Xenopus tropicalis: one gene and its partners. Each later gene encodes a partner of the first gene's protein in a complex. Links are inferred from orthologs where the notes say so. Each region holds a gene or a part of one and is shown in the gene's direction. Other genes may lie near its edges.

Region 1 (7,307 bases):
GGCCTTGTTGTTCAGTGAGGGGAAGACCATCTATAAAATATGGCTGACTGCTTTGGCAAGTGTGTGCTGCTGTAGTGAATATCTAATGGTGGCTATACTCATTCTTGCCAACAGTGTTCGGCCAATTTACCCCCAAGTGACTTTAATTGCTTACCTTTTACCCTGGGCTGGTGACCCTGTTAGGAGAAAACCGCACCAGCCCGGGGTACCTGTAGCGCTTCCTTCTGTTCCCTGAGCCGGCACATGCACATTAGAGCGAAAAGCAGACTTTTTTATTAAAGTTCGGCTTCTCACTCTACTGTGCAAGCAAGCGAAGAAGGAAGAGGAAGCGCTCACTACAGGTACCCCAGGCTGGTGCGATTTTCTTCTAACAGGGGCACCAGCCCGGGGTACGAGGTAAGCGATTAAAGTCACTTGGGGGTGCCTAACATTTTGGCACCCCCAAGTGACTTAGTCTTTCCTTCTGCTTTAATTTAAAGCACTTTCATTTTAGGTGTTTCTTTAAACAAATCTGATCATATATGGCCACTTTAACTCACTGTGTAATTGCTTTGTTTTATCCCTAGTAGAACCAAAGGTTTCTGAAAAGAAAAAATTACTAGAAAAAATAAGAGAAAAAGAGAAGTTGCATAAAAAAAGGCAGGAGGAAGTAAACCAGCAGGTAAGTGCTTGAAATGATCCTATTGCATTGTGATATAGTTTACAGGCTTATATTAAGTACCATGGGAAATGGCACAAAGCTTACACTTCCTCTCTGCAGGAGAAGGAAGGAACCGCACCAGAGTTAAGTCCAGAGGAACAGCTGGCAGAAAAGCTTCGCCTAAAGAAGTTACAGGAGGACTCCGACTTAGAATTAGCAAAGGAGGCTTTTGGTGAGTCTGCCACACAATAAGCAATCCTTGCTAGCGCAAGTTAAAATCACTGAGGGGCTGCTAATTTTAGTCTTCCACATAGTAATTAAAAACATTTTAGCCTGTGTCACTGCCTCTGCTTTAGAAAACAGTGACCCTGGGAACTTAGTGCTGCACTGCTATCTCTTGGTTTGTCCCCCCAGGTATCCCCTCGCTTAGGGGTGGTGCATTGGGGTTAAACATAGGTGTATGTTATCTCTGTAATAGAGTTGCTGTCACACGTGTGCTTGACTTGCTTATTGTGAAACTGACAGCACTACATGTTACCTGGAACTTCCAGATATCCACCTCTATTCCATAGCTTCACAACTGTATTACGTACATCACTGTGTTCTCCCAGATCCTTAGAAACGCATTTTGGCCAATGCCTTTCTTCCCTTCTATAGACAAACCCAACAATTCATATTCTAGCCCCAACAGGCTATAAAGAACCTGAGAGACTTATCATTTCTCTCCTACCTAGAACTTAATAAATGCCAATCCCATAAGTCCTCCGCCCCTCCATAAAAATACTTTCATACAGCCATTTGAATGCCCAAGTATTTGTTTGGTGGCACAGCATATTATCTTACAAGGATTGGGAGGAAACTCTGACATCTGTTGGTTGGTTTCTGCTAGTGACCGTAATGCAGTTATCGATGCATGCCATGACTGCAGACCACCTTCATATGATTGTGTTCTGCCCTCTGTGGGTTTGGCTTCATACGTACCTTGGCAGTCAGGTTAAGAAAGCTTTTAGATTGTTAGGTTTTTTTTTTTTTTATTTAAGTGCGTTGTAATTGCTATATTTGTGTGTTTTCATTGCTAGTTCTGACTCTGACAGAAACCAGCTGTAGTGATGAGCGAATCTGTCCCATTTGCTTTGCTGAAAACGTTGCAAAACTGCAGAAAGTTTTCAGAATGCAGCTACTATGCGACTTTGACACAACCAAATTTTTTCTGCAGTTTTGTTAAATTCACTAATGAAAAGTTTAATGTATATTGAAAAGTTGCATACTACTACTATTTATTTTCTGTCGTCTCGGGGACACAGGTGATCTATGGGGTAATTCAAGTGTCCTGCTTCTAGGAGGTTGGACAGTCATGTCTCTAGGGATACTTGGGGGTATATATATCATGCTGTGTAAAAAGTGGAGTAAAACATTGCCGGTGATGTTGCTCATAGAAAAGCAAAGCATCTGATTGGCTGCTAATTGTTGATATCTAATTGCTAATTGGTTATCACTGGTAATGCTTCACTCTACTTTTTGCACAGCATGATAAATATACCCCTTAGAGAGAAATTATTTGGTCAGTGGTTAATGTTGACTCCTGGGTGATACCAGAAGCAGGGCTACCTGTCTGCCTCACATGGTAGCCCCTTTCTGCATCCTAGCCCTATTGCGCTATTTAGACCACTCAGGCAGATTTCAGCAGCTTAGGATGAGCAGGAGGCTTGGACAGTGCGGTGCCGAAGTGAGTATAGCACTCGGCCACCCCGCTCTGCTTGACTTATATTGTAGCCGTGTCCAACATCACACCCCAACTCGCCAGCCTGGGACATTAACTACCTGCCTTTTTGCCTGGCTTCTTGCTCTGGCACACAGGCCTGGCTCTACCTGCTCCCCAACATGCAGCTATGTTAGGGTGGCCTTTAGCACAGATATGGTCACAGTGAAGAGGGAAGGAAACCTTAAAAAAAAGTTTGTTTATTATCTGCAGGAGACAATGTTACCGTTACTGGAATAGATGCCATGAATCCGTCCTCAAGAGAAGACTTTACAGAATTTGGGAAGCTCCTCAAAGAAAAGATCACCCAGTATGAGAGATCGTTATTTTACCCAGGCTTCCTGGAGGTCCTTGTGCGGGAAGTGTGCGTCTCATGTAAGCCAGCCTCTCCTCCTTTCCAATTTCCATAAAGCTTTTTCATTCATGACTTATCACATGAACTTTGTTAGTCATTAATTTTGCCATATATTGCGGTGGCCTGAAGTATTTTTGTATTTTCCTGTTTTAGTGGAAGTGGATGACCTGAAGAAAATCAACAATTCTCTAACAGTGTTGTGCTTTGAGAAACAGAAGCAAGAGAAGGTGAGTTTATTTGGGTGGGAGGAGTATTAAAGAAATTATTTCAAGGTAATAGAAAAATGACAACCTATTAGAGGACTTGTTTCATGATGTTAGCATGAAGGTGTAACATGAGTGCCCCCTGCTGAGCGCTAAGAAGAATAGCAAATGTTTATTTTATATAGATAAGAAGCATCTCTTCATGCATCACCGCTCTATTGTTTTGCTCAATGTGACATTAGCAGGGTAGTGTTAAGCTTTATATGTTCTACCCCGCTCTTGCCATGCAGTGTAAAAGCTGCTAAAATCATGAATCATTGGTCATTGTTATAGGTAGGTTATATGCCCCCTGTAACCTGCTTCTGTGCAGGTAGAGATTTAGCATATTTTTTTGCCTGGATAAACTACAATTGTGTCTCTGAATTACAGCAACAAAGTAAAGCCAAAAAGAAAAAGAAGGGAGTTGTTCCGGGAGGAGGACTAAAAGCCAACATGAAGAATGATCTAGAAGATTATGGGGGCATGGATGAGGGCTATGGACGAGAGTATGACGATTTCATGTGACACGCTGGTTCTTTGTGGCCCTCATTAAGGAGTGCGCTCTCCTCCCTCAGGACTCTGCCAAATGCTACAGTCAAAGAAATCATCCCCCCTCAACGGGCCATATAAAAGAAAATGGCCATGGTGTGTGTATCTGGATTCTACTGGTTGATGCCCACATCGCACATTAAACAATTAACCTATGCAGCTCTATTCAGCATCCCCTTAACTCAAGGCTCGCAACCTTCTCCACTCTGCTTGTGGCATGCACGCTCAGCTCTGCCATGTTACAAACAGAGTCATGCCTCTGCTTTCTGCCTAGGAATATGGTCTCTCTCTCTCTGGGCAGGGCAGGTTATTAAATCTTTCTTTTTCTTCTGGCTCTTTACTTCCTGCCTCATTGACACTGCCCTCCCAGCCATCTTAGTTTTTTTTTTTTTTTTTTAATATATATTGGTTTCTTAGCTTTGTGCTAGAGGAATCTCCTGCTTTGAACTGTGATTCCTGATGGACTCAGCTTGGTGCTTTTCCATATTAAAACTTTAAACAATCTGAAATCACCTCTACAGTATGTGGAACTGTGAAGATGCAGAATGGTAAGGAGATACCGCTGGTGCATCAGACTATATGTGCTGCCTTCTGTTGGAGCTGCCAGTACCAAAACATGTGGGTCATCATGACTTTGTGGCCAACTGGCAGTTCTTGATGGCTCTGCCGGAGGGGAGGGCCATAGGGTCTTGATATTTATTTAGTGATTGCGTGTCAGTGTGGTTTCACGATTGGTTTATTGCTTTTTGACTCTTGCACCAAGGTTCAAGGTCTGGCCCTTTCTCTTAATCTTCTGCTCACCCACTGGATGGCGCTTTGCAAACAGGTCCTACTTTGGGAGAATTGTTATATTAACAATGAGACTGCAATGTTTGTTTTATAAGACAACTAATTTAATAAACTCATCCTTGTGACAAGATTGGCCAGTGTGCTCTCTCCTGCATAGGCAAGGTTGGCTTCTGAGTCTTTGGCAAAGTGTAGTGCACCAGGGAGCAGGGAGCTAGAGAGACCACCTCCAGTAAGTCATTATTAGTGGGTTTATTCTACCATGTATAATGCTGTTAAAGCGCAGATGGAATTAATAGCGTTGGGAAGACAAGCTGTATTTATGTACATATTAACAATGTTTGAAAAAAAAAAAAAAAAAAAATTATGCATATGTTATTTCTTTGCAGCTCTCCTTTGCTTTTGCCTTGATACCTTGTATTGATCTTTTTTTTTTCATCTTCCTTGTTGACAACTTTTATTTTTAGTTTCCTTCCCCCCCCCCCCCCCCGACTATGAACTGTTCTAGGCAAAGGACTGAGGGTCACAATATTTCCCATCTCTCATTTCCCTTATGCATTTGCCTAATGGAAATACTGAATATTTTTTTTCCTTGCTTTGGTTTCCGTAGCTTCTCTATCATGGGGGTTAGTCTGCTTGCGGTTTAAAGGTAAAGGCACAATTACTGTCTGTTCGGTCTTCCCTGTAGCCGCCTACAGCCAGTGGGGCTGCAATTATGTAAAAGGCCTGTTCAAGGGACATTATGCCAGAAACCACTTGTCTGTACAGCTAAAACCCACACCAGCATATTTAATTCTGTGTATTAAGGGAAATCTAACGGGTATATTATAGTCTCATGGCTGGATTAGATCTTTTTTACCATAAGTCGAAGTTACGTGTTCTTCACTTTCAAATGGGAGACCTTTGGTTACCTTTAAAAAGCTGGTAACTCCATGGCTGAGCGCACAATATACAGTCACTGCTGACAGAGAATCACATTACTTAAGGATTTTATTTTTCTTTGGGGGGGTGATGCATGATATGAGCAAACTAAGCCTTTATCCACACTACGCATTCTTACTAGAAATAACTGGGACAGGCACCATAAGTTCCATCTTCACTGTATTCCTTATTGGCACCAGCAGCTTCAAATAACAGCAACAAAGTGTGTGAAATGAAGTAAAATATATACATCCAACTTGTTTCAATGTTGTCTCCCTTTTTTTTTTGTTTTCTTGCTTGTTTCCCTTTGCTCTTATAACTCACATTTTTTTAAGGGAAAATATGAACCTATGTTCAACATAACCAAATCATGAAGCTTGTGTTTAAAAAAAGAAATCCATTTTTTTCCTTTTATTTAATAGCACTCCTGGATTATTGTTCTACTTATCAGGAGATTTTTTAAATAGAGACATTGAGCACTATGTAAACAACCCATTCCTTCCCCTAGGTACTGTTTGTGACTCCTGTTTAGAAGGAAGGGTTTATTATACAAATAAGTCAAAGTCCTTTGTTTAGAACCAAAGTTTCTCTGCCCACAGCCCAGTGTTAACCTGCAGACACAATAAGCAGAGAGAGAGCTGCTTCGTTGGATGGAGGTGGTGCAACCCTATAATGTGAACCATACACTGGCTTGACTCATACTGGCAACATTGTTACATGGCCTGCTAGAGATGGGCCGGTACCACAGGCTTGAGGCGCTACTGTTTAAAAAAGAAGGTTGTGGCCATTCTTGCCTAGTTATGCTGACTATTTTAGGAATATACCAGTATCATTTTAATTCTAAGTAACAATCCAGTGTATTGTGGGAAACTGATCATTGGCTGGAGGAGAGCAAACTATTGTAACGTTGTGCATATGGCCAGCACCAGCAATGCAGGGAAGAGCAAGGTACAGCCAGGCTTTGCTTTCATTAGCAATAATACTTAAGCACGACTTAAAATAGCAGCTATGGGCACTGTCAGACCGAGGACTGCATCAACTATCCAATGTTCCCTGATCTGATGGGAAAATCATATCTTGCCTCATAGAGATCTGGCCAATTTGATTCCAGATTTCTTTTGGGAAGGCCTGCCCGCAGTGACCAAATATGGGCAGAAAGGCTGCTGAATTGGTATGGCCACCTTTAGGCAAGAATATCACACTATGCTGTAGCCTTGCTTTCAATGGGACCAGGGGCCCCAGCCGTCTTTCACCAAATGTTACTCCCCATGTTAAGCTCTAAAAGAAAAGCCATTTACCAGTTGGCCATTACTTTTTCCAGGAGAGAGAACTCAATTTAGTGTTCAATGGTGCCTTTACTGCCAGAGCATAATATCACATGGTTAAAGCAGTGACCAGGGCTTGATACTCTGAAAGAACAGCGTTCAGCACAAAGTAGCCCTGAGGGGAAAGCAACATTTCTGTAAACTCTGGTAACAAGCTCGTTTGTATTAACAACAGACTTGTAGATATCACATTATGCTGCGAGTAATTTAAAATATCTTCCTTAAAATTATTGAAATTGTTATTATCAAGGCATACTGTGCATGTTGAATTCTTTGGCACAATAGGATCTGACCATTCTGATATGCATGATGTGTTATAAAGATAGCTGTAATCTCAGCCATAAAGCATAGAAGTACTGCTGCATTGCCTGCTTGACCTATGCTCTGTCCCAAGTCAGGTTTAGCTCTAAGGCTGATGTCAGATGAGGCATAGGGCGGATATTTTTGGCAAGCGAGCTTGAAAGTCTTGCGTATTTATGCGTATTTCAGCTACACGTGCCTGCACCCAAGCGTATCCCATTCATTCGGGTGCAGGCACATTAGCAGTTTTTACGCTTGATGAAAATATCTGCCCTACACTTCGTCTGGCATTAGCTTAAAAGAAAAAGCAGGCATGTGCGGGTGGGGGCAGCATTTCCAACAATGGTTTCCTCCGTCCCACTAATGTGTCATCTTGGAGGAACAGATTTTGTAGCATCTCACAAAGTCCCTAAGCTTTTACAAACAAATC
Region 2 (7,645 bases), on another chromosome or scaffold:
TATTGAGTTCTTTTACACTTTTTTTCAGTATAGGTGAAGTCTTCATAATAAAATTATGTTGTTACGAAATACTAAATACATACATATAAGTGACTTTTTTATGTTTTAATGACAAACTACATACTTTTTTGGTGGTCTACTTTCTTAACTTCAGACAGGGGACACGCGGCATGTACTTTCTGGATCTGCAGATAACTCATGCAGGCTGTGGGACTGTGAAACAGGTTAGTGGCTGGAGAAATTACTCCTTGATGTTCATGTATTGCTTATCCTTTGTTATCCTTCCTGTACCAATTGTAAAATTTTTTTCAGATTTTGGTGATATACTAAATCTAAAATACATATTGCTGTATATAGAGAGCCCCCCACAAAATACACAAAGATATATTAACCTTTCAACTCACCACAGGTGAACCTTGTGGAAATTTGCGATCTGCCCAAATTTGGTTGGCCAAATAAAACCTATCCACTTTCTGTATATAATGTGCTCCTAATGTACTTGTACATGACCATAAAAAAATTGAACTTGCCATCTTAAATTTACCAACCTGAAACTATTTCAACTATCAATAATTAACAATGGGCTGGAAATTACAACAACCAGACTGTATGTAAATAATAAGTATATTTCATTCCATGTATATATGTAGCATCAGATTTTTACATTTTTGTCCCTTTAGAGAATATGCCCAATGATATCTTTTCTGTTTTATCATCTTCCTTGTAGATTTCAAGCTATCCTACTACCCTACTTTTTTTTGTCTTTCTAGGGAAACAGTTGGCTCTCTTAGAGACAAACTCAGCTGTAAGGACCTGCGGCTTCGATTTTGGTGGCAACATAATCATGTTTTCCACTGACAAACAGATGGGGTACCAGTGCTTTGTGAGCTTCATTGACTTGAGAGACCCTACACAAATTGGTAAGGCCATGGAGTGACTTAAACAATTATGTGGTAGTTACTGCGTGGTCAGTATTTAGAGCGGCATCCAAATGGAGAAGCTGCCTTTATTTTTTTTATATTATATAATACCCAGTAAAATTATATTGGGAATCCAGGTTCCCCATATAATACATTTGATGTTACTTAGGAGTTCACCATGTGGCACAGTAAAGGGCATTTCCTCTGGCCTCACTGAGGGCTTTACTCTAATACAGTTTATGCAGCAAATATCCTGATTAGATAGAAGTCGTCTTTATCACAGGGCTTTATCACGCATGTGGTAGCTATAAGTGCCTGTACCACCCTGTGTGCGTAGTAACTGATGGGAAACTGCTAATTGGTGTTAACACAACTGATATGAGGGTGAACCTACACTAAACTAGCTCTACCTATGTCAAGAACTGGGTCCAGGGGCAGTTGGCCTAAATATATACAGACCTAATGCAGTATGTGATTCTTTTTAATCTCTTTAGTATATTCCTGTTTTCTGCACACCAGTAGTACCCTCAGTTGTCCGTGCAGGTGGTGAAGGGTCCAGATTTTTTGTTGCATTAAAAAATTAACATTTATAAAAATGTTCTGTACATCACGGATAACAATTTTCTTGCAATGAATGCCCTATTATTATTATTGTGTAGAAGACAACGAGCCATACATGAAAATTCCTTGCAGTGAGTCAAAGATAACCAGTGCAGTGTGGGGACCACTTGGAGAGAACATAATCGCTGGCCATGAGAATGGGGAGCTGAACCAGTACAGCGCCAAGGTAAAGCCCAAGATGATTATTTTTAACTTTATGGCATGTACTGATTAACTGAGTAAACAGATAAGCTCACCTAAAATGATATATTTACCCTTCCAAGTACAGGTATCGGACCCCTTATCAGGAAAGCTATTATTCATAAAGTTCCGAATTACGGAAAGGCCATTTCCTATAGACTCCATTTTAATCAAATAATTCACATTTTTAAAAATGTTTTCCTTTTTCTCTGTAATAATAAAACAGTACCTTATACTTGATCCCTGCAAAGATATAATTAATCCTTATTGGAGGAAAAACAATCCTATTGGGTTTAATTACTGTTTAAGGTAGGAGAGCCAAATTACAAAAAGACCCCTTATCCGGAAAACCCCAGGTCCCAAGCATTCTGGATAATGGGTCCCATACCTTTTTTTTTATATTTTAGACTGAGTTGAGTTTTAACCAGCTGATTTTTTTTTTATTAAAGTAATGGCCTGGGGTTTCCCGGATAAGGGATCTTTCCGTAATTTGGATCTTTATAATTAAGTCTGCTAAAAATCATTTAAATATTGAATAAACCCAATAGGCTTGTTTTGCCTCAAATAAGGATTAATTATATCTTAGTTGGGATCAAGTACAAGGTACTGTTTTATTACAGAGAAAAAGGAAATCATTTTTTAAAATTTTTTTAAAAAATAATTATTTGCTTTTAATGGGGTCTATGGGAGATGGATAACGGGCTTCTGGATAAGGGATCCCATACCTGTACTGACAATTTTCACAACATGTTTCCAATTAGGGACTCCAAAATTAATTTTGCAGTTTAACAAAATTTCTCTCTTTGCGGGTTTATAAACCCTTTCAGTTCTGCGCGGTGTTTTGGGAACTCTGTTGAGATAAAGCAGTGTGTTGCTTCTACTTAGCAGAGCATCCAAGTCTTGCACAACACTAAGGGAATATAGCTTTCTTTGGTTGTGTTTAAATGCTGAGAAAGACTTGGATAAGTCCAATTCATTCTTGGTTATAGCCAAATGAGGGCAAGTCCACTAAGTTAATTCTTTGTTGCCAGCTGCATAGCCTGTGGTGACCCCTGGATATTTAGTAGGCTACACCACAAGTTTATGTTTTTATGCATTTTTTTAATATTCAACTGTAGTAATTCATACTGACTATCAATGTAATTTGCTATTACTAACGTTGGTCATACACTACAAGATTAACTCGTTTAAAGAAGTCAGCAAATGAGCAGATATTCCTACATAAGGGCTCTGGCACACGGGGAGATTAGTCGCCCGCGACAAATCTCCCTGTTCGTGGGCGACTAATCTCCCCGGATTGCCATCCCACCGGCGAAAATGTAAGTCGCCGGTGGGATGGCACACGCTGCGCAGGCAATTTCGGCGATTTGCCGAAATCGCCTGCGCAGCGTGTGCCATCCCACCGGCGACTTACATTTTCGCCGGTGGGATGGCAATCCGGGGAGATTAGTCGCCCACGAACAGGGAGATTTGTCGCGGGCGACTAATCTCCCCGTGTGCCAGAGCCCTAAGGTGGGTGATATTGGGCTTATTTGATGGCCCTGGGGACAAATAATCTAATTACTACAACGAGACTACGAGCCTTAAGAGACAGGACTGCATCAATGAGCCAATGCAGCCCTCAAACAGATGCGAAAATCATACCTTTCCTGTCCACATCTGGATAATTTTTTGCCATATGTTGGTTGGACAGGCCAATCTATCATTTTATATTCATTCGCTAATATTTTTATTAGTAATAGCAGTAGAGTGCCTTATTGGATTTTCTCCATGTGTGAAGGAAATGCCACACGTGACAAATGGTCTGCATTTTAAAACAGTAGTTTTGATTTAGTAGAACCATTGTTGGTGTTGTCAGTTGACCGTATTCTTTGTATGTTTGATGCATTTATGTGGCACAATAGGATAAAAAATAAGCACTAATAAGTTGTTAGCATGGTGCAACAACTTCACTTTCTCAAAAGATGTTTCTTAAATTTCAGTACCACACCTTTGAAGGTGTGCAGCGACAGCTGCCTAATGAACAGAAATATTAGACTTTATGGATTACTATTTAAGCATGTTTATTTATTTCACTATTGTAAGGCACTCTTATCCTTTAATGTCTACTAGAAATATCTTATATACCCATAGCAATCGCACTTTAAATTTACTGCTTCTTACAGTTTTAACAAACCGAATCAATAAGTGAAATAGAAAAAATGACTATAGGTGATTTGTGGAATAACTATTGCTGCCATATGTGCTACCAATTATATCTGATATTCTTCTTTTCAGTCTGGGGAAATAGTTAACAGCATCAAAGAGCATTCCAAGCAGATCAATGACATTCAGACATCCCGAGACATGACAATGTTTGTTACAGCATCCAAAGACTGCACCTCCAAGGTAAGGCACAATCATCTGCTGAAGCTTGGTGAATTATGACACAAATGCCATTTGTCCTGAGTTATTTTCAGGAAGCAGAATTTATCTGTCCTAAAATGTGTTGGTATATTGATCTTTGATCCATCTGTTAAATGATATCCATCAGTGATCTTGACCAAGTAGCTTTGATCCCCGCTGCAGGTAGCAGCATTTAAAATGCCATGTGTGCTACTGGCCTCCTAGCTGAAACCTATATAAATTGAAAAGTTTAATTTTTGTCTGCATGAAAACCTTTGTCAGGGTCCCTTTAGCTCATAACAGGCTTACAGATATAAGAAAACATTGGTGTAATAATCAGCAATAGTTTAAGAACATCTAGAACAGCAAATATGTGTATGCTCCAGATCTAACCGTAACTGACCTAAGCAGGATGTTTAGGTGTATGTAGAAGTACACATAAGCATTAGCATAAGAAATATCCCCCAAACTTACCTTCATGCTGCCACCAGTGCTCTAGTTAAAGCATATATGCCCCATGGTTTGGTTTGTATTACAAATGGACAGCCATGATTCCCAAATAATTTTCTCAATATCTTAGATTTTATCAACACAAGTTAAAAGAAAAAATCCATATGTGCTTTAACTGTATACAGTGTAAGAAAGGTGCACAGCTGCACACTGATATTTTTTAATTCACACTGATTATAGGTTCCACTAATAGGAACCTACAGCAAAAAGTTACTTTAGTATAATGCTACCCCACCATGGCTGTTATCAACATAAACGTAAGTGTTCAGTTTGATATGAGAACAGAACTGGTGCAGTTCAGCCTTATAGGGAGGATTACACCTGTAAATATCGTAAGACTTGGCTGTGTTTTCCTTGGCAGCTTTCCTTTGCATTTTCTTTTTGCTATACACAAATTTGTTTGAAGAGACTTTTTTTTTTTTTTTTTTAATTGTGGCTTAGCCAACTGATTGCCATTAATTGCTATCATTTGTGGAATAGTCTGCTATATTATGGTACTGCACTATCACATTATGGTACTTCTCATATCACATTGAACACTTTGGTCTATGTGAATAATAGCCAAGTTGAAGTAGTAATCTGCTAGTGGTGGTGAAAACTTGTTTTTTACACTTTTCATTATTTTGTACAGGTGCTCAGCATGCCCATGTTTGGTAGAGTTAAAAGAAGGAAAGGCTAATAAAGAGTTAATCTCAAGCTGCAGGCATATCTTCAGTTGTCTCAATAGTGCCCTTAAGTCTCCCCTTTTTTCACCTGTCTGAAGCCAAACAGGAAGAAAAAATGCTGAGCTGTGTAAAGAAAGTTCCCATAATGCCTCACTCCTGCACAGACATGCAGGCCAAGTGAACATGCTCAGTTAGTAAGACTATGAGTCAGCTTCCTGCTGATTGGCTCAGATCCACATTCCTAAGGGGGGAGTGAGTTCTTAGCATTCTTGTGGGAGGGGGGAACAGGAAAGAGCAGAGAACAGAAAGCTGCATGTCTCTGGCACAGGAATTACAGACACTACTACTTTTTTTTCAGAGAAGTTCAGCATTTCTGTAAGTGCATATGGCTGTATTTACATAGACCTTTCTGATAAAGCTTACTTAGTTTTTACCTTTCTTTCTCCTTTATGTAGATGAGTTGTTCAGAGCTTTGCTGTATTTTATTGCAACATAAAACAAAGAAACTATCCATACTGTATGCTATTATAAAATAATAACATTAATATGACTGCATTTTTTTACTCAACTGGAGAAAGTACTTTCCTGCTCTGTGTGAGCAAAAAAACTGGGATTATCTGCTTGAAGAAGTTTTTAATAACAGCTAATGGGTTCTCTGACAGATAACACTTAAATAAAAACCTCTCTCCCCACCATGGGCGTCCACAGAAGGGGGCAAGAGGGGGCACTTGCCCCCCCCTGGAAAAGTAGCAAAAAAACCAAAAACCTTACTCCGTTTCTGCACTTTCCCCTCAAGCCCGTTTTTGCTGTGCTCCGATTGGATCTTTCTTCTTGTGGATTCACCAATCAGAGCACAGCTTCCTTGACAGACAGTAAAATTGACCAATCAGAGCACAGATGCACACAGGGATCGGGAGATTTTGCAAACTGGAAACAGAAATAAAGACTGAAAAGATGAATCTGCAGCTGTAACTTTACCTGAGAACCAACTCTCAACTTTTGCTGCAGTTTTCATCCCACAGGTACTATACAGTTCTAAAGAATCACTAGCTGACATTAAATTGTTTAATTTATAATCTATCCCCTACCCTAACACATGGAGGGTAAGTTAACTCTTTCCCTCTGAAAAAGCTCATTGTGTGTTTATATATGTGTTGTTGTTTTTTGCACTTACTATTTTTTTTTTTTTTTTGTCATTGTTTTGTTCATTTATAGTTAGTTACAGTGGGGCCAATGTTGTGTATCCGTGCCAGTGTTATAGTGCCAGGGCCTGAATATCTGCCATCAGTACCCACTGCTCCTCATGGCATATAATGTGCTGGGTTTGTAAATACGGACTGCATCTCACTGTATATAATGGGGAGTCAGTACCCACTGCCTTTCTTGCTATAAAACTAACATAAACACATCTAAAGGGGTGGTTCACTTTTAAGTTAACCTTTAGTATGTTATAAAATGGCCTATTCCTAGCAACTTTGCAATTGGTCTTCCTAATTAATTTTTTTGAATAATTTGCCTTTCTCTTCTGCCTCTATACAGATTTCAAATGGGGGCCAAAAAATATTGCTCTGCGAGGCTACAATTTTATTATTATTATAATTTTGTATTACTTATTTTTCCAAGTAGGCCCCTTAACTATTCATATTCCCATCTCTTGTTTAAATCACTACCTGGTTGCTAGGGTAAATAAGACCCTAGCAACCAGATAGCTGCTGAAATACCAAATGGAGAGCTGCTGAACAAAAAGCTAAATAACTGAAAAACCATTAAAAATAAAAGTGAATTCGAATGTGAACTACCCCTTTAAGCTAACTGATCCCAAACACAAATGTTTGCAGATCCCCTAACAGAAGTGCGCGTATGAATACTTTTACTACTAATACTAAACATTTTAGGGTAAAAAAAAAAAGCACCCCCACCCGCACTTTTGTACAGTATCCCTGGGAGTCAGTGGGAACGGCAAGAGGTAGTTGGGAGGTTAACTTTTTACGTCAGCAGTGAATCCACTAAGTGTCACATTAGCTGTAGGTCAGTCTGTGTATGGGCCATATTTAGCCTCCCCTAGTATCATCCTGCAAAAAAAAAAAAATATATATATATTTATCTGTTGCAGGATGATGCTAGCTTACTTGCCCCCCCTTGGAAAATTTTCTGCGGACGCCCATGCTCCCCACACTAAAAAATGCACTTTTTCTATTTCAACTCCCTACCTAAGCCATAGGTCACAAAATGACCTGCTGTATGATAAATTACTGTTATATATACCTGCCTTCTGCTTTGTACAAAGACAACTGGTTCTTTGCACTGGTCCATTATCAGTATATTATCAGTGACCCCATTTTAAAGCTGCAAAGAGTTAGAAGA
Region 3 (7,645 bases), on another chromosome or scaffold:
CTTAGTTTCCCACAATTTAGTGCCATTGTATCTGCTTCCTGTTAATAATTATACGTTAATTAACTGAACAATTTGGTGTTTGTTCTTTTTGCTGGAATGATAGACATCCCAAAGATCGAATGTAGTTTGTATGCTTAACAGAATTAAATAACATTTCTACAACATAATACAGGGATGTGATCTGTTATCCACAAACCTATAAACTAGTAAGCTCTGAAATTACGGGAAGACCATTTCCCATAGACTTAACATAAATCAACAATTTATACTTTTAAAAATGAACTGCTTTATTATTATAGAGAAAAAGTAAATGATCGTAGTTAAGGCAAAACAATCCTGTTGGGTTTATACAGGTATGGGACCCATAATCCAGAATGCTCGGGATCTCTGCTTTTCCGGATAAGGGGTCTTTCTGTAATTTGGAGCTCCATACCTTAAGTCTGCTAAAAAAAAAATCATTTAAAAATTAAATAAACTTAACAAGAGTGTTCTGCATCCAATAAGGATTAATTCTATCTTAGTTGGGATCAAGTACAGGTACTGTTTTATTATTACAGAGAAAAGGGAATCATTTAACCATTAAATAAACCCAATAGGGCTGTTCTGCCCCCAATAAGGGGTAATTATATCTTAGTTGGGATCAAGTACAGGTACTGTTTTATTATTACAGAGAAAAGGGAATCATTTAACCATTAAATAAACCCAATAGGGCTGTTCTGCCCCAATAAGGGGTAATTATATCTTAGTTGGATCAAGTACAGGTACTGTTTTATTATTACAGAGAAAAGGGAATCATTTAACCATTAAATAAACCCAATAGGGCTGTTCTGCCCCCAATAAGGGGTAATTATAACTTAGTTGGCATCAAGTAGAAGGTACAGGTATAGGACCCATTATCCAGAATGCTCGGGACCAAGGGTATTCCGGATAAGGGGTCTTTCCGTAATTTGGATCTCCATACCTTAAGTCCACTAAAAAATTAATAAAACATTAATTAAAGCCAATAGGATTGTTTTGCATCCAATAAGGATGATTTATATGTTAGTTGGGATCAATTACAAGGTTCTGTTTTATTATTACAAAGAAAAAGGAAATTAGTTTTAAAATTCTGAATTATTTGATTAAATGGGTTCTATGGGAGACGGGCTTTCCGTAATTCGGAGCTTTCTGGATAATGGGTTTCCGGATAAGGGATCCCATACCTGTATTGTTTTATTATTACAGGAAAAAAAAGGAAATCCTTTAAAAAAAAAATCTGAATTATTGCTCTTAATGGAGTCTATGGGCGATGGCCTTCCCACAATTTGGAATTTTCTGGATAATGGATCCCATACCTGTATAATAAACATACATTTTATTTATTTTTTAAAATATTCTTACTCCTTGCCATATGGTGCTATGGAACGAAGCAAAAAAAGAAGAAAAAAAAACCCACCGCCGCTAACTGGTTTGCAGGTAATAGCCCCAATAGCTGTAATTAAAAGCTTCTCGGACACCATGTGCTAGCTTGTATAATTACGGGCGCTCACTTTGCCTCTCGCTGGAGTTCTGTTTGAGCGCGTCCCTCTGCTTTGTTCACAGCTCATTGATTTTTCTCATTTTGGAGGTGTGACGCGAAGAGACAGAATAATAGCCATAGCAGTTTAGTGCGATTCTATCAGATGTCGCCATCGGGGCCACAGTTTGTTTAATGAGAAGTTTTTGTGTTCAAATTTTTAATTCAGACATTGTAGGTCGTAAACCTTTTTTTTTTCTTCTTGTGATGTTGGGGTCAGTGACCCTCCTTGAAATCTGGAAAGGGTAAAAGGAAAATGATTAAAAAATTAGTTGTTCTATAACATATTAAAAGTTAAACTACCTCTTTCAAATATCAATTTTAACTCTAGAAGTTCTGTTTTCATGTCTGTTTTCAACATTTGCATACAGATGAAGGGGATTTGGGAAATCTGATATGCTTTACCCCTTGAGTCATATAGAGTTCCCTGCTTTCAAGTTTATGTACTCGTATGTCAAGTGTGAGCGTTACACTGTCTTCATTTGGTCTACACGTTACTCATGGTTTTGTTTGGTAATGAAAAGATAAATGAAACAGGGAAGCGGTAAGTTCCTAATAAAACTAGAGCCGATGACTCGACCATTGCTCGTTGGAATATGGAGCTCTATAGTATTTAATCAGGTATTGCGCAACGCTGGGAATTAGGGAAATTATTGGCAGGAAATGCATATATGTTGATTTGTGTAGTGTTGTTTTTGGATCCTCCTTTATGTGTAAGATTTAGTTGCATGTCCTCCTCACATTTTATACTAAAAGTCATAAATATATGTATGAAAGGCCTTGTGATGTCTGGGGGACAAGTGCTGAGACATGGCACATCAAAGTAACTATCCAGCTGAGTGCTACCATGGTACTAATTGAGTTAATGAGAAACACTGTTTCTAACCCATTATCTCAAAGTTCCCGCAAGTCTGGGCAAAAGTTAAAAACAGCTACTGACTTAAATGCAGTGCTGTCATAAATGTGCGCTTGGGACAGTGGGAACATGGCATTTCTTTTGGGATAGAGGTAACGTGCACAACTCACACAAATACTCCAGAAATGTCCCTTGGGGGCCTTTAGGCAACGAAATACGAAATGGAGCAGGTGAATATAGGCTTTAAAGATTAGCTGTCCTCTGGTTATTACCTAGGGCAATGTCACTATGTCCATTCTCTTGCACTCAACGGTGTTGGGCAGTAACACCAAAGCTATACACCAAAAGACTCTAAGGGGGCCGTTAACTAATGTGTGTTTTTCTGCAAAGGGGAATGCCCTCCCCTTAAAAACAAAACAGGGATAGTTTTACCATATATTGCAATATATACAAACAGGCCAAACAGTCACCCCCTCTGGCCAGTCCTACATTTACTTATCTTATTCATTAAGAATTCTGCTACTTCATTATACACCGAACAACTCTAAGGGGGCCGTTTGTATTCTTTTTGATAATCTGTTTTTTTTTTTAAACCATGAAAAATGCAAGAAACTCTAAAACCACTAAAGTGCCTCTAAGGGGGTCTACCTGTCTCTGTCGGTGTCTAAAGCTGGCCTTACGCTGAAAGATCTGCTCATTTGTCAAGCCCGCCAAACAAGCAGATCTTTCCCCAATATACCCACCTTGAGTGATATAAGATTGATGTGATGTGGAACACATCAGTATGCCGATGCACCCATTGCTCCGACGAGATTTTGAATCCTGCCCAGTCGACATCTAGATTATTTTCAGCCCTTAGACAGGCCTAACAAATGCCCATTTGTTAGGCCCGTCTTAGGGTCCTATACCCAGGCCAATAAACTGACGAATCGGACTGTTCACCCTTCAACGCTTTTATCAGCCCATGTATGGCCATCTTTGCCCGACAGAGCAGATCCCGTGCATTGGTGTGGGAGGCAATGACAGTCCATAAGGGGGCATTTTGACCACGGATATTCTCTGTGCAAAGCACCAGTGCCAGCCAAAATGCCTCAACAAATTAAAGATTATAAAGAAGAGCCTTCAGTTGGCTGTCCATATACATATTTTGGAGTGTCTGCTAAAGTGCAAATAATTGGGTGCAACATGGTCTCTCATCAGTAGATTGATCTTATGAATGAAACTGTATAATTTTTCCTCTATCCCATCCAGTCGCGTTAAAATTTACATTTTTTCTCCCCACTCTCCCTCAAAGCATGTTGGCTGACAAACTGAATATGACTCCGGAAGAAGCTGAAAGGTGGATTGTCAACTTAATTCGTAATGCAAGACTGGACGCCAAGATAGATTCCAAACTGGTACGGTTTTCATTTTCTGCCATTCATTCTGACAGAACCATAACAAATGAAGTCATTTTGTTTGCAATGACATTGACTTATGGCTTATAATTTGTGGATTGCTGCAGACCATTTAAGGTGGCGGGTGGGTGTTTGAGTTAAGCAGTAGAACCCGCTAGCAGGGTTAGGATATCTTGCCGTTTCTGTATGCAGCAGTTCTATTTTAAAGTCTAATTTGTGTCGATTTCCATAATACTACCTTGTGTGGGAATGTGTTACTGGGAGCTGTCAGAGTCTATTCAAATCTGACGTTTAATATTGATAAACCAAATACAAAAATATATTTTATATCCTCGTTCTAGGGTCACGTGGTTATGGGAAACAATGCCGTCTCTCCTTATCAGCAAGTGATTGAAAAGACAAAGAGCCTTGCATTCCGTAGCCAAATGCTGGCTATGAATATTGAGAAGAAAACGAACCAGAACAGCAGAACTGAGGTAAAGATGTTTGCTCTGCACTCCCGGCTCTATTTGTGAGGCTTAATTCCTATTCGTGCCACAGGCATAGAATGATTAAGGTTCTAGCCCCATATTCAAAAACATCAGAATTATATAGAGCTGGGATTTAAACATTCTTAGCAATATAGGATTTGATACGGCTTAAAGGAACAGTAACACCAAAAAATGAATGTGTTTTAAAGTGAATAAAATAGTGTTCCGTATCTTGACCTTGCTGTTTTTTATTTCCACTTAGAAATGGCCGCCCCTGTTGCTATACAACAGCTCTTTTATACAGACTATAGTAGTCTTTCTGAAGCAAACACACAAGTTTTACCAGAGTAAAAAAGTTGTTGTATAGCAACAAGGGCGGCCATTTAAGATGTGAAAAGAAACAGGTTACATAGCAGATTCACTCTGTAGAATGCAATGGTGTTTTACAGAGCTTATCTATAACCTGTGCCATTTAGCCCTATTTCAATTTAAATGTCTGCTACCATGGCTATACAGCAGTGTGTTTATATGGGCTGTATTAGTGTTTTAGAAGCAAACCTACTGCTTTTACCATTGTCTGGTAGCCGAACATTATAGTTTAAATTCTTTGATACACTTGAGTTACTTTTCCTTTAAATAGGCAGTGTCTCTGCCCTTGTCTTATATGGCTCATGTACTAATGTTCATAACATATATTGGCAAGCAAATTAAAAAAAATAAAATAAAAAAAAAAATGTTGCATTTGTGGTAGATGCCATTTCTACTTGAATTTGCTTGCCAATATGTTATGAACATTAGTACATTAATTGATAAAGTCTATATCGGCACAATATTTTATCTGATTTGTGTGGATTTTAAAAGCTTTTTTTATTTTTTCCCTCACCTAAAAGTATTTGACTGTCTGCTGTGGGGTGGTGCAAACTATTACAAATTAAGGTTGAATTTTTGCACTGTTTCTGTCATTTTCTTAGTGGAAATAAAGGACAGCAAGGTCAAGATATGGAAAAATGATTTTTGGCATTTTACTAAATCGGCCATTTGGTCTTTGCAATAACCTTGTGGCCAACCAGATAATGTAGGTCAGTGCATTACCCCAAGGGGCCACACCCCTGAAGTTATGATTAAATAAGATTTTTACACATCAGACTAAAGGTGGCGACACACGTGGTGATTTGCAATCGTACAATCAGCCACACACCGTTCAGGGCTGAAACGGCAGATAAGGAGGTAGAAACAATAGGATGGCGCCCGATCAAAATCTTTTAACCTTCCCGATCGGCGAGTCGACCGATATCGGCAGCTTCCTGCGATATCGGTTGACTTGCCATATACGCACCGAATATCGTACGAAACGAGGTTGTGTACGATATTATCGGTGCGGGTATGGCCAGCTTAAGAGGGGTTTTTTCGGGGGAAAGAGTGCTAACAAGAACAGACCAGTTTTCCTAACTAAGATATAATTAATCTAATTGGAGGCAAAACTGACCTATTGGGTTTATTTAATGCTTACATGTTTTTAGTAGACTTAAATTATGGAGATGTAAATTATGGAAGGACCCAATGCCTATATATAATATATATATTTTTATTTTGCAGGCACCTACCTGGGCAGCTCAGGATTCCGGATTCTATTGATGACTTCATTTGAACTTCACACCAGCTCAAAGTTTCCCTGTTACCCATGCTTTCTTTTCCTCTTACAAAAACCAAGCCACATTGTAAGGTTAAAGGAAGGCATGCGTTTGAATAAAATGGGTACACTTCCTTTTAACTGGGACTTATTGGTTATTTTATGCTTTTATTTTTTTTTTTTTTCTGATTTAGTACTCATGTACCACATTTATTGTACGGGGCTCTTCAAATTTATTTCCCACTGCCATATTAATATAATAAATACATAGCATTTTGTTCAACACACATACTATCAAATATATATAGGGTTTATGTATTTATTTATAATGTAGTGATCTCTTAGCTTTGAAATCAAACTGTCAGCAACATAGTAGTCGAGGTTGAAAAAAGGCACTTCATCAAGCCTTTATGAAACCAACTTGTTAGATGATCCAGAGGAAGGTGAAAAACCTTGGTCAACACCAAGAGCTAATTTCTGCAACTCTGTATTCTCTTACTTGGTAAAGAGGCATCCAACCCGCTCCACAACTTCACAGCTCACACTGTAAAATACCCCACATGTCTGCTGGAAAGACATACTGGTGAATAAAGCGCCAGACAATTTATTATATGATCCCCTTATATATTTATACAATTATCATATCACCCCTTAAAGTGATACTGACAGCCACTTAAAAACATTTTTTACACCTGTTGTGTTTTAATTTGTATCAGCTTTAAATTCCTTATAAACTAAATCTGCAAAGTTTTTTTGCTTCATAATTATGGTATCATTAATTACAGACCCACGGAGCAGCCATGTTTGTTACCTTATTCCGGGTTTTAATTTAAATGCCTCCCAAATGAATAAATATGCCCAATCACAAACCTGCAACACCCCTTCTGCTTTCAGTCGGTATGTGACAAGCTCAGCTCCGTTGTCTATGTGTAATGGGGAGGGGGAAGGGAGAGCCCTTAGAAGCAGGCAGGCCCGGGAAAGCTATTTAATTCTTCGTGCGAAGTGCAGAAAGGGGGGCAGCCCTTTGAAGTAGGCAGGCAATGGAAAGATCAAGCCTGCCTGCTATCTAGTTCACATGCTATGCGAGGGAGGGAGGGGGAGCTCCTTGAAGCAAACGGCAAGCTGAATCCTCCCAGTTTATGACGTGGTCCTTTTCACAGATTGAGAAGCTTCAGTTGGGTTGCCAGACAGTCGGGTTCAGGATCTTTAGTAGGATTTATGTAGAAAAACAGGACTTTTAGGAAAAAAAAGTCAACATGACCTTATAGGTAGGTTCATACTTTATAAGAAATTTTTTGGTGTCAGTATCACTTTACGTGCATCTTCTCCAGTTAACCAATCCCAACTTTTTCTCATAAATAAGACTTTCCATGACTTTTAAAAGCTGTTCTTTGGATCTTGTCTACATCTTTAATATATCTTTTAAGCACTGGTATTCATCCCAGGATATTAAATGAGCTTTGCTCTGTGGTTGGCAAACTTCTTCACTCAATTTTTCAGGATTCATTGAGGTCTGGCATGGTGCCAAGAGATTGGCGAATTTCTAATTTGATTCTGTTATTCAAAAAAGGATGTCATTCTCAGCCTGAAAACTATAGGCCAGTTAGTCTGACATAAGTAGTTTTAAAGCTTTTGGAAGGGGTAATAAGGGATGGGATAGGGTACTTGAATGCATTGCAAATCTCAGTACTATAAGTTTGTGCCAGCATGGTTTTCTGTGTAATAGACTCATTTAAT

What was found. Proteins that work in one complex are often made in the same cells at the same time.
Region 2: eif3j (region 1) and eif3i share a complex: the UniProt entries of both Homo sapiens proteins name them as parts of the eukaryotic translation initiation factor 3 (eIF-3) complex. The link is inferred for Xenopus tropicalis from reciprocal best matches to the Homo sapiens genes EIF3J and EIF3I.
Region 3: eif3j (region 1) and eif3e share a complex: the UniProt entries of both Homo sapiens proteins name them as parts of the eukaryotic translation initiation factor 3 (eIF-3) complex. The link is inferred for Xenopus tropicalis from reciprocal best matches to the Homo sapiens genes EIF3J and EIF3E.

The regions. Positions count from the first base shown.
Region 1 is NC_030679.2:118,202,303-118,209,609, reverse strand, and holds the end of eif3j (eukaryotic translation initiation factor 3 subunit J), read left to right. Parts: intron 1-566; coding exon 567-661; intron 662-760; coding exon 761-872; intron 873-2,612; coding exon 2,613-2,774; intron 2,775-2,907; coding exon 2,908-2,981; intron 2,982-3,386; coding exon 3,387-3,521; 3' UTR 3,522-5,512; downstream 5,513-7,307. UniProt on the Homo sapiens protein: Component of the eukaryotic translation initiation factor 3 (eIF-3) complex, which is required for several steps in the initiation of protein synthesis.
Region 2 is NC_030678.2:86,499,241-86,506,885, reverse strand, and holds part of eif3i (eukaryotic translation initiation factor 3 subunit I), read left to right. Parts: intron 1-158; coding exon 159-224; intron 225-770; coding exon 771-920; intron 921-1,579; coding exon 1,580-1,707; intron 1,708-3,998; coding exon 3,999-4,109; intron 4,110-7,645. UniProt on the Homo sapiens protein: Component of the eukaryotic translation initiation factor 3 (eIF-3) complex, which is required for several steps in the initiation of protein synthesis.
Region 3 is NC_030682.2:133,666,179-133,673,823, reverse strand, and holds the end of eif3e (eukaryotic translation initiation factor 3 subunit E), read left to right. Parts: intron 1-3,705; coding exon 3,706-3,808; intron 3,809-4,149; coding exon 4,150-4,284; intron 4,285-5,874; coding exon 5,875-5,913; 3' UTR 5,914-6,049; downstream 6,050-7,645. UniProt on the Homo sapiens protein: Component of the eukaryotic translation initiation factor 3 (eIF-3) complex, which is required for several steps in the initiation of protein synthesis.